3 linked regions of the Xenopus tropicalis genome follow. The protein of the gene in region 1 interacts with the protein of each later gene in a pairwise test. Links are inferred from orthologs where the notes say so. Each region holds a gene or a part of one and is shown on either strand. Other genes may lie near its edges. The genes, in order: tacc3, cib3 and kiz.

Region 1 (3,756 bases):
ACTAAAATTTTTTTAAGTGAAAAAGCTATTCTACCCTGCACCAATAACCGCCCTATCCTGCAAACCACTTAGTATTTTGAATGCTTTAATAGAATATACCTGTTAAATGAATGCTTTAATAGAATATACCTGTTAAAACTTGCCTTCCTGTCAATTGCACTACAGTGATACGGCGAAGGAAGGAGCAGCATCCACTGTGCGACGATTGATGAGTCTAGCCTGACTCCTTCCTATACAGAAGGAAGGCTAGGCTCGATCAACCGATCGTCGCACAGTGGATGCTGCTCCTTCCTTCGCCGTATCGCTGTAGTGCAATTGACAGGAAGGCAAGTTTTAACAGGTATTTTCTATTAAAGCATTCATTTAACAGGTATTTTCTATTAAAGCATTCAAAATAATGATAAATCCTCTCCACCCTCTAGATTTCTTAAGCCTCCACTAGGGAGCCCAGATGCCAGGTAACATTTTACACAAATTCTGCAGCTTCAGGAAGAATATCAAGCATGTCGGCCACACCCACGTCAATGGAGGTGCCAATTTATAAACTTCAGATGAGGTTCTTCATGCACACTGGCATAGGGTGGTACCTACCCACCATCTCCTCCCAGCTATCCCCTGCCCCCCCTACAGACTCCATGAACAAGCAGTAAATCACTCTTTAGAAAAGTTCTCTACTGTCTATTCAGTCTGAAAGCCTGTATAGGGCACCGGGGATGGCAGACACCCACCCTGAGCAATACAACCCCAGTCCAGGGTATAACTAGACCCCCAGGGTGGCAATGCTTTGGTGGATTTTGTGGATTATACCTAGAGCTGGGCGGTATGACCAAAAATTTATATCACGGTATTTTTCAAAATTATATCAGTATCACGGTATTTGACGGTATTTTTTTTTCCAATTAACATTGGTGGCCAGGGCCCCTAAATATTGCTATTGAGACAATTAGTATTTAATCCACAGGGAACAAAGTTGAAAATATATGGAAAGGCTCGTGTTGGTACAATTCCTCAGAGGTTCTAAATCGGTATATGAAGCACTGCTTCATGCAGTTCTGTACTTGGAATGTGCAATTTTGGGAGGTTTGTACCAGTGAGGCGCAAGTAGAGGGAGCATGTAACCAGCTGTGACCAGCAGGAAGCTTTCCCCCCACTTTCCCCTTATAATTACGATTATTATTTATAAGCACCACCCCCCATACAGCAAGTTGGCCAGCGATGCGGCCCGTGCCGCTTCTGTTTGCGCCCCGTGCGTACTGACGTCATGTACGCACGGGGCGCAACCCGATCATCACCGGTATGGGGGTATTTCAAAAATGAATATCGTTTTTTAAAAAAAAAAAACTGTATTCGGTATTTTACGGTATACCGCCCAGCACTAATTATACCAACAAAATGAAATGCAATTGGTTGCAAGTCTGTACTGGGATTGAACATAGGCCCTGGCATTTCAGGTACACAGAGGCCCAAACAGCCCCCCAGCAGCCCAATAAATAGTGAGTGTCTATGGCACCTTATAGCAGCCCCTCTGGCATTTGCCAGATCCCATAGATTGCCAGTCTGGGCCTGATTTTCAGTACACAGAGGCCCAAACAGCCCCCCAATAAATAGTGAGTGTCTATGGCACCTTACAGCAGCCCCTCTGGCATTTGCCAGAACCCACAGATTGCCAGTCCAGGCCTGATTTTCAGTACACAGAGGCCCAAACAGCCCCCCCCAGCCCAATAAATAGTGAGTGTCTATGGCACCTTACAGCAGCCCCTCTGGCATTTGCCTGAACCCACAGATTGCCAGTCCAGGCCTGATTTTTCAGTACACAGAGGCCCAAACAGCCCCCCAATAAATAGTGAGTGTCTATGGCATCTTACAGCAGCCCCTCTGGCATTTGCCTGAACCCACAGATTGCCAGTCCAGGCCTGATTTTCAGTACACAGAGGCCCAAACAGCCCCCCAATAAATAGTGACTGTCTATGGCATCTTACAGCAGCCCCTCTGGCATTTGCCTGAACCCACAGATTGCCAGTCCAGGCCTGATTTTCAGTACACAGAGGCCCAAACAGCCCCCCAATAAATAGTGAGTGACTATGGCACCTTACAGCAGCCCCTCTGGCATTTGCCTGAACCCACAGATTGCCAGTCCAGGCCTGATTTTCAGTACACAGAGGCCCAAACAGCCCCCCAATAAATAGTGAGTGTCTATGGCATCTTACAGCAGCCCCTCTGGCATTCCCAGTACACAGAGGCCCAAACAGCCCCTCATAAGCCCAATAAATAGTGAGTGTCTATGGCACCTTACAGCAGCCCCTCTGGCATTTGCCTGAACCCCCAGATTGCCAGTCCAGGCCTGCTGGTTGCTATAGGTGACAGGACATGGATACCTTTGCATGTATAAGTTCGTAGAATTCCCAGACTACAGTTCCCAACCCTCTCCTCCTCACCATGCAGTGCAGTAAGGCCAAGGGGTCGCTGTGTATTAAATAGTAATAAAGCCATTACCCCAACCCCTAAGTAAATAGTCTTTCTGCCCAAAATCCAGACCTGCGCCCCTGTGACGCTGAACATTGTTAAATACCGACGTCGCTTAAACATCTAAACAATACGTGCGCCCCCTTTGCCTCAACAATCACGACACAGAAGTCAGTCATCGCCCGTGTATACCAGCCCCACCGATAGCAATAAGAACCCAGTCACAAACTACTTCGCCATATCCCCTCACCTGCGAGAAGAAGGCCTGAGCTGCCGGCACCGCGCTATTTAAACCTTTATGCACCCCGGCGGGTATCTGTGCAAGCCTGCTGCGCCTCAGACGCTTTTTGACCATGTACTTTTTTTGAATTTCTGAGTTTGGAAGAACCCGTCCAATCACAGCTGCCGAAAACTCCCTACGTCACGAACAGTTACGAATGAACCAATCACAGAGCGCGGGCTGTGACACGGGTTTGCGCGCCCCCGTACAGTGAGAGGCGTGACTGTGTGTGACGTCTTTGTTTTAGCGGGATCGCGCTTCCCTGTGTAATGGCTTACTGTTCTGCTTGTTGTCTTCTCATTTCATTCCCGCCTGCCACGTATCCTCCCCTGGGTTCTTGTGCTTTCTCCCACTTGTTTAATAAATATATGTCTAATATAAATACTTATTTTTGGTTATCACCAGTCACTGCTAGATTTAGTGTAAGGCAGAAATGGTGTTTGCCAGAATCTGAGAAGTCTCTTGTGAGGAATATATAATTGTGCTATTAAGGTGTCCATAGAAGTTCTGATTCTTGTTTCCTTCCAACAAATGTTCAGATAAAATTGTTGGATAAAGTCCGAAACATAAAATAATTGGCAGACAACAATTGTAGGGAAAGTGATGTCCTGGAAATGCACCTAAAGGTGGCCACACACATGGTGATCTGCGATCTTTCGCGATCGTCAGACCCGCCACTAACCTTCAGGGCTGAAACGGCAAATAAGGAGGTAGAAACAATAGGATTTCTACCTCCTTCTGCCGATTCAGCCCTGACAGCAGATTTTGCCTTCTATGGCGCCCGATCAAAATCTTTTGACCTGGCCGATCTGCGAGTCAACTGATATCAGCAGCCTCCTGCGATACCGGTCGACTCGCCAACTTGCCATACACGCACCGAATATCGTACGAAACGAGGTTTCGTGCGATATTATCGGTGCGTGTATGCCCAGCTTTAAGATATCGTCAGATACACAATTCAAGCACAGATTTTGTTGTTATTCTACCAAAATTTTCTAATCTGTCTGATTGAC
Region 2 (3,656 bases), about 84 Mb from region 1:
TAAAAACTAAGTAAGCTTTATCAGAAAGGTCTTTGTAAATACAGCAATTAGCACTCACAGAAACGCTGCACTGACTTCTCTGTGCATTGTAAACATGTTCTTCACTATCAGACTTCTACGGAGACCAAGCTAAAATGGCAGCTGCAATCTCACACAAACAGAGGGAGCTTCAAGGGCTCTTTACTCAGGTATGGTAATGCTTTCTGCAGAATAAATAGAGTGTTCTAGGTAGCACTAATGTGGCTAATCTATTGGCAGTAAAATGCCAAAATGACTACACTGTGAATCCTGTGATCCCAGGAGGCGGCCCTTAATTCTTAAAATGGCAATTTTCTATTAAGGACTACCCAATAGCACATACTACTAAATAACTATATTTTATGAAAATGGTTTATTTAGATGAAGCAGGGTTTTACATACAGCATGAGCTACATTGTTTGGGGATATAGTTTTCCTTTAAGGAAATCCGTAAATTAATAAAGATAAGTTAAAGGGATGATTCACCTTTAAGTTAAATTTTAGTATGTTATAAAATGCCTTATTCCTAGCAACTATGTATGTAGTATATCTTTTCATTATTTATTTTTTATAGTTTTTAAATTTTTTTCCTTACTTTTACTGACCCCGACAGCCAAAAACTATTGGTTTGTGAGGCTACTAGTGCTACTTTTTATTACTTATCTTTATATGCAGGCCCTTTCCTTATCATATTCCCGTCTCTCATAGGGTAAATAAGAGCCTAGCAACCAGATAGCTGCTGAAATACCAAACTGGAGAGCTGCTGAACAAAAAGCTAAATAACTAAAAACCACTAAAAAAACAAAGACAAACTGCAAATTATCTCAGAATATCAATGTCTATATCACACTAAAAGTTAATTCAAAGGTGAACTCACCCTTTAACTATACATGGGACACCTTGATCTTTAACAAAATGTGTTAGATTGACTGTACTGTACCTGAGGAAATCTGGAGCTCTAACAATCATGTGCTGGAAGTCTTCCAGTGACAATTTTCCATCATTATCTACATCAGCCTCATCGATCACCTTCTCACACACCAGGCAAACTTCCTCAGGGGTAAGCTCATTCCGTGTTAGTTTGTTAAGTGTCTTCTCTAGGTCTGACTTGCATATGTAATCGTCATTATTAAAATCTGAATAAAAATAAATATACTCATTTTTGGAAGGCATATTGCAGCTGAATATTTATGAGGCAGAGAGATGTATGAAAAAACTGATGGGTTATTCCTTAACATTTTGTAGACCTTTTCTGGGGGTCTATTGTTTACATAACTGTAGCACCAGTGATTTTATTACTGTTGCAAATTGAGATATTAGAGCAGGGATCCTCAAAATATGGCCCATGGGTCGGATCCGGTCCCCCAAGGTAATTTACCCAGCCCCCGCTGTGTCCTCACCCCTGGTTACTACCTGTTTGCAGACGCAGCAGGGGAGCCGGAGGACATAGCGGGGGCAGGGAGCGGGAAGACACAGTGGGGAGTGGGCAAAAAGGGAGCGGGAGGACGCATTGGGGAGCAGGGAGACGCAGCCAGGTGAGCTGTAGTTTGAGGGCGTTTCAGGACTACAGTCCAGCCCCCCAACCCTACTTTTGCAAAACAGAAAGAATAATAAATTGAAAGCATAAATTCCTTCTCAACAGAACAGAACCAAAAGTGAACCAAACTGGGAGCACAAGTATGCATATATCTAGGGGCTGATTTACTAAGACACGATTTCAAATCCGAATTGGAAAAATTCCGATTGGAAACGAACATTTTGCGACTTTTTCATATTTTTTGCGATTTTTTCGGCGTCTTTACGATTTTTGCGTAAAAACGCGAGTTTTTCGTAGCCATTACGAAAGTTGCGCAAAGTCGCGATTTTTTCGTAGCGTTAACACTTGCGCGCAAAGTCGCGCCTTTTTCGTAGCGTTAAAACTTAAAAGGCGCGACGTTTCGCGCAAGTTTTAACGCTACGAAAAAATCGCGGCTTTGCACAACTTTCGTAAAGACGCCGAAAAACTCGCGTTTTTACGCAAAAATCGAAAAGATGCCGAAAAACTCGCAAAATTACTGATCATTACGAAAAAAACGCAATCGGACGCATTCGGCCCGTTCGTGGGTTAGTAAATGTGCCCCCTAGTGTGAGTGGGCTACTCAACATAAACACTTTCTTCAAGGAGATCAAGCACCAGTCATCTGTTTTCCTTATTGTCTGCCAAAACCATAACCCCAAAGTAACATCCACAGATGCAACCAGAATGATAAAGACTGCCAATAAAAACATAACTTACCATATATTTTAAAAGCATAGAAAGCTTTTAAGTCTTTGGGTGCCATTTCACTTAGTACTGAAAACATATCTAAGAAGTCATCCAATGTCATGTTTCCATCTCCATCCTCTGAAAAAACCTCAGCTATGCGTTGCCGAAAAGGATTATCCTGCCGAAGAAGAGACTGATGTCAGCCTTGGTAAATCAAAAGGAACCTCATTGATGTTACATTTTTTACAATCTAAAAAAAGTGTTTCTGTTATATTCTATATTTTCTGTTTTAGAAAACATTGTTATATTATGATACATTCATTTGAGAAAATACAGGTATAGGAAACCCATTATTTAGAAAGCTCTTAATTATGGCAAGGCCATCTTCTATAGAGGCCATTTTAAGCAAATAATTCTAGTTTTTAAAAATAACTAAGCTGCATAATTCCATATAAGAGTCAAACAGTCCAATTGGGTTTATTTATCGTTTAAAAAAACGCAGGTCCCAAGCATTCCATATAAGAACCTATACCTGTATCACCTTTTCTAGCTATGTTTTTCCCCGCAATTTTTTTTATTAGTGTTCAAGGTTCAGTCTAAAAGTAACAGGTGAATCAGAGTGCAGATTAGGTCAAATAAAATGTAACTGAGATGCAAAAGGCAACTTTTAACTTCACCAAGTATTTTGTTAGGCTTCAGTGATCTTCCCAAGTCATGCCAATTAGCACCTTCTGCATTATTAATGCAGCACCGGATTAGAGTGACATCTGGCAACCTTTGCCGTTGTTGCTTCTCTCGTGGTTTACCTTAAGCTCAGGCATACTGCCGATGAGCTCGTAAGGGATCTTCACATCTGGTTTATTTGTGTAGTCATCTGGAACAAGCTGTGGTGCCAAGTCCCGGTATCTGTTAAAAAGTCTTAATATGAAGAAAAATTGAGTACACATGTCGATGTTATTGAAATTCAGTTATATAACCTTTTCCTCTTGACTGCAGTATAAAGTGATACACTTATTGCATTAAAATACTTTGGTAAGTATATTGACATCACTTATATATTACTTCATAACATAAATGTGGTTACACTCTATAAGACAGAGGTAATTTTGAATGCTTATAAATGCATGTTTATTTTTTTACCAAGAGTATTAGATTTATTACATCCTCATCCGTTTAGTGGTGAGACAAACATTATATTTTATGAAGTAAAAAACGGCTGGAGATAAAAGCCTTTTTATTCTATTAAGACAAGTATCTTAAAATATGCACCCCCCCCCCCACCCTTTTGCATAAACACTTGCTGAACTCCCAAAAATACATATCAATCCATATATTTTACGCAGACATATTTGATTCCATAAAATAAATCATAATCGTCTGTGATCAAAGGGAT
Region 3 (3,656 bases), on another chromosome or scaffold:
GGGCCCCTAACTGGAGATTTTAGTATCACAATAGCCTTTGATACTATGCTTGTTTAAGAACTCATCCAGGCCCCTCTTAAAGGCATATACAGAATCTGCCATTACATCATCACTTGGAAGGGCATTCTCCAACCTCACTGCTCTCACCATGAAAAACCCCCTACAAAGCTCTGTTCCTCTAATCTAAAGGGGGAAGGGGCTCAGGTGCGTTGATACTTTTTATGGGGAAAAAAGAACACCCCCTATCTGCCTATAATCCCCTCTAATGTACTTGTACAGAGTAATCATTTCCCCTCACAAGCGCATTTTTTCCAGAGAAAACAACCGCAACCCTGACAGTCTAACCTCATAGTTTAAATCTTCTTTCTCCTTTACCAGTTTAGTTGCAGTTTCTGCACTCTCTCCAGCTCATTAATATCCTTCTTAAGGATTGAGGGCCCAAAACTGCACTGCATACTCAAGGTGAGGCCTTACCAGGGACCTATAAAGAGGCAATATTATCTTTTCATCCCTTGAGTCAATGCCCTTTTTTTATACAAGATGGCACTTTATTTGCTTTAGTAGCCACAGAATAACATTGCCTGGAATTAGACAATTTGATATCTACAAAAACCCAGATCCTTCAATTAAGGACACTACCTACACACTACCATTTAGTGAATAGTGCCTTTATTATATACCAGTAACTATACCTGTTACTGGTATATAATAAGAAATGAAAGAAAAGACTGATTTTTTTCTTTTTAAATTAAAATATTTGTCAGCATAATTTCTGTGTGTGTATATAGGTTTCTAGGTGTATATCAGGTCAATCGGCCCCTTTAGGTAACAAAATATGCTACATTTTGATGGGCTAATAGTTACATCAGTTACATCTTAATTGCGCCGTGACAAATCTCCGTTGGCGCAGGCAACTAATCTCCCCGCAATGCCATCCCACCGGCTAGAATGTAAATCCCCGGTGGGATGGCATACACAGCGCCGCAATTTGCCAAGGTTGCCAAAGTTGCCCTAAGCTTAGCTTCTCAACAGCATGAGTGCAGAGCGCAGCGAGCATGGTGTTGCTGACACTTTTGACAGACTGCAATAGGGTAATCCCCTGTGACAACTTTGAAGGCCTGGATCATTACTGTTATACGTTTAGGCAGGTTCAATAAGTTCAGTATATAAAATATGGCATTTCTAGCCATATTCATTTCTAAAAACTTAGTGTAAAAACTACTCGTGGCACAAACCTTAAGCAAAAGATAAATTGACTTTGTTAAACTTACTGACTGATTGTAGAGGAGGAAGAAGACTCATCACATGAAATTACTTCTGTTGTTTGGAGGTACTGTATGGTAGGTGTTTTTTCATTATTCTTTAGTACAAAAGCCTCTTGTTTGGATAAAGCTGTATATGGGTTTTTTCCATCATTCCTTTCGGCTTCTACACTGACTTCACCAGGTGGATGGGAATCATCCTCTGATTCACTAATAGAAACTGTAAGGTCACTGCTGCTGTCGAGACATTCATTGCCTTCTTCTTCATTGATAAGGTGGCTTTCAATCGTATCTGTAAAAAAATAAAGTAAAGTCACTATTATTTCATTTTACAGCACCTAAAGACATCACCAGAACCCAAAAAACAAAAAAAAGACATAAACCAGAGGTTCTCAAACCCAAACTTCTTTGGGTCATAGGCTTAAGGACAATAGGATACTATTATAGCTGTTGACTTTAATAACCAAATATTAAACCTTTATAACGTCTTGAATTTAGGTCCTTAGGGCCTTTATTCAGGAAAAGGAACTCTGAGGAAACTACATATACCCCATACTGTACAGGATGGAGTATGTTATTTCTTATAAAATACAAATATGATAGATTAAAAAATGTAAATTTAAGTTTATATTAAATATAGCCTTCTAAATGGTGCTCAGTGATTTCATACATCCTAACTTGTGTTTAGTGATGTTATGTGTCACGTAATTCACTGTAATGTATGTATTCTATGACAGAATTCACCTTGTAGTTACTAAATAAATAAATGGCACTGTGCTACTGATACCTGTATTTGATGCCTAAGTCAAGCCAAGCAGTATGGAGGCTGCTACTGAAACACTATGCACAAATATATAATAAAAGACATGTAACAGCATTTAGGGAAAGAAGAAATATTACACTATTACACTATATGCATAACTATCAACATATGCAAAAAAACATGCTTGCTTTTATGCATTTTATATGCACAGTTACACAGATAATTATTGATAAGGGCATATAGGTTTTTGTGTGTATAAATCAATGGTTGTCTGCTTATTTGCAGATATGAATGGATTGTTGGTTGTGAAAGCTTTGATATTATGATCATTGTTGAATTAACAAATTTTCTGTTACAGCATGCATAGGGCACCTATATATACAGAGCTGTATAAATACATTAATAATACTGGCAGCCAGGAATACTATCAGATGAAAAAGGTGCATGGTCTGAAGCTGGCCATACACAAGATCTGCTTGTTTAACAAGCTGCCAAACAAGAGCATATTTGTCCCATGTGGCAACCTAAATTATGGGCCAAGTCGCAATGTTACATTAGTAAAGTAATGGACAGAGACCTTTTACCACACTTCTTCCTTGAACAGTAAGATAGGTCACTTATTAAAATATAAATTTGGTTAAGTCTTCTGTCAAAAAGTAAGAAGTATTCCTTAAAGGAACAGTAACACAAAAAAATTAAAGTGTATAAAAGTAATTACAATATAATGTACTGTTACCCTGCACTGGTGCAACTGGCGTGTTTGCCTCTGAAACCCTACTATAGTGTATATAGGTATGGGATCCCTTATCCGGAAACCCGATATCCAGAAAGCTCCAAATTACGGAAAGCCTGTCTCCCACAGACTCCATTTTAATCAAATAAATCAGATTTTTTAAAATTGATTTCCATTTTCTCTGTAAAAATAAAACAGTGCTTTGTATTTAATCCCAACTAAGATATAATAAATCCTTACTGGATGCAAAATAATCCTATTGTGTTTAATTAACATTTTATTATTTTTTTAGTACACTTAAGGTATGAAGCTCCAAATTACAAAAAGACCCGTTATCCAGAATACCCTTGGTCCCGAGCATTCTGGATAACGGGTCCTATACCTGTATAACCAAAGCTGCTGTGGAGTCATGGGGGCAGCCATTCAATGGAGAAAAGGCACAGGTTACTCAGCAGATAACCGATTACACCCAATTATATTCTACAGAGCTTATCTGTTATCTGCTTTGTAACCTGTACCTTTTTCCAGCTTGAATAGCTGCCCCCATGGATACACAGCAGCTTATAAATATAAACTATAGTAGCAGTTCTGTAGCAAACACACCAGTTGCACCAGAGCAGGACAACAGTACATTATATTTTAATTACTTTTAAACTCTTTAATTTATTAGTGTTACTGTTCCTTTAAAGTAAAAAAAAAGTAAGAAATTGGAACAATGCAAAATATAGAAAGAGAAATTTGAATAAAGTGAAAGATGAAGAGGTGTGAGATTGGATCAAGTATAAGAATGACAGAGGAAAAAGAATGGGTGTGTCAGTCACTGTCACTATCAATAAAGCTTATTCTACATTTCATGCCCAATTTTGGGCGATTCAATGGCAAACAACTCAAGGTCTCA

What was found.
Region 2: the proteins of tacc3 (region 1) and cib3 interact in binary tests that used the Homo sapiens proteins (3 or more experiments, as listed by UniProt). The two-hybrid records come from large-scale screens. The link is inferred for Xenopus tropicalis from reciprocal best matches to the Homo sapiens genes TACC3 and CIB3.
Region 3: the proteins of tacc3 (region 1) and kiz interact in binary tests that used the Homo sapiens proteins (3 or more experiments, as listed by UniProt). The two-hybrid records come from large-scale screens. The link is inferred for Xenopus tropicalis from reciprocal best matches to the Homo sapiens genes TACC3 and KIZ.

Annotation. Positions count from the first base shown.
Region 1 is NC_030677.2:20,375,208-20,378,963, reverse strand, and holds the start of tacc3 (transforming acidic coiled-coil-containing protein 3), read right to left. Parts: upstream 2,835-3,756; 5' UTR 2,714-2,834; intron 1-2,713. UniProt on the Homo sapiens protein: Plays a role in the microtubule-dependent coupling of the nucleus and the centrosome. Involved in the processes that regulate centrosome-mediated interkinetic nuclear migration (INM) of neural progenitors.
Region 2 is NC_030677.2:104,272,338-104,275,993, reverse strand, and holds part of cib3 (calcium and integrin-binding family member 3), read right to left. Parts: intron 3,182-3,656; coding exon 3,070-3,181; intron 2,442-3,069; coding exon 2,294-2,441; intron 1,155-2,293; coding exon 959-1,154; coding exon of another isoform or gene 892-958; exon of another isoform or gene 820-891; intron 1-819. UniProt on the Homo sapiens protein: Acts a an auxiliary subunit of the sensory mechanoelectrical transduction (MET) channel in hair cells. Plays a role in regulating hair cell MET channel localization and function.
Region 3 is NC_030681.2:36,368,316-36,371,971, forward strand, and holds part of kiz (centrosomal protein kizuna), read right to left. Parts: intron 1,555-3,656; coding exon 1,272-1,554; intron 1-1,271. UniProt on the Homo sapiens protein: Centrosomal protein required for establishing a robust mitotic centrosome architecture that can endure the forces that converge on the centrosomes during spindle formation. Required for stabilizing the expanded pericentriolar material around the centriole.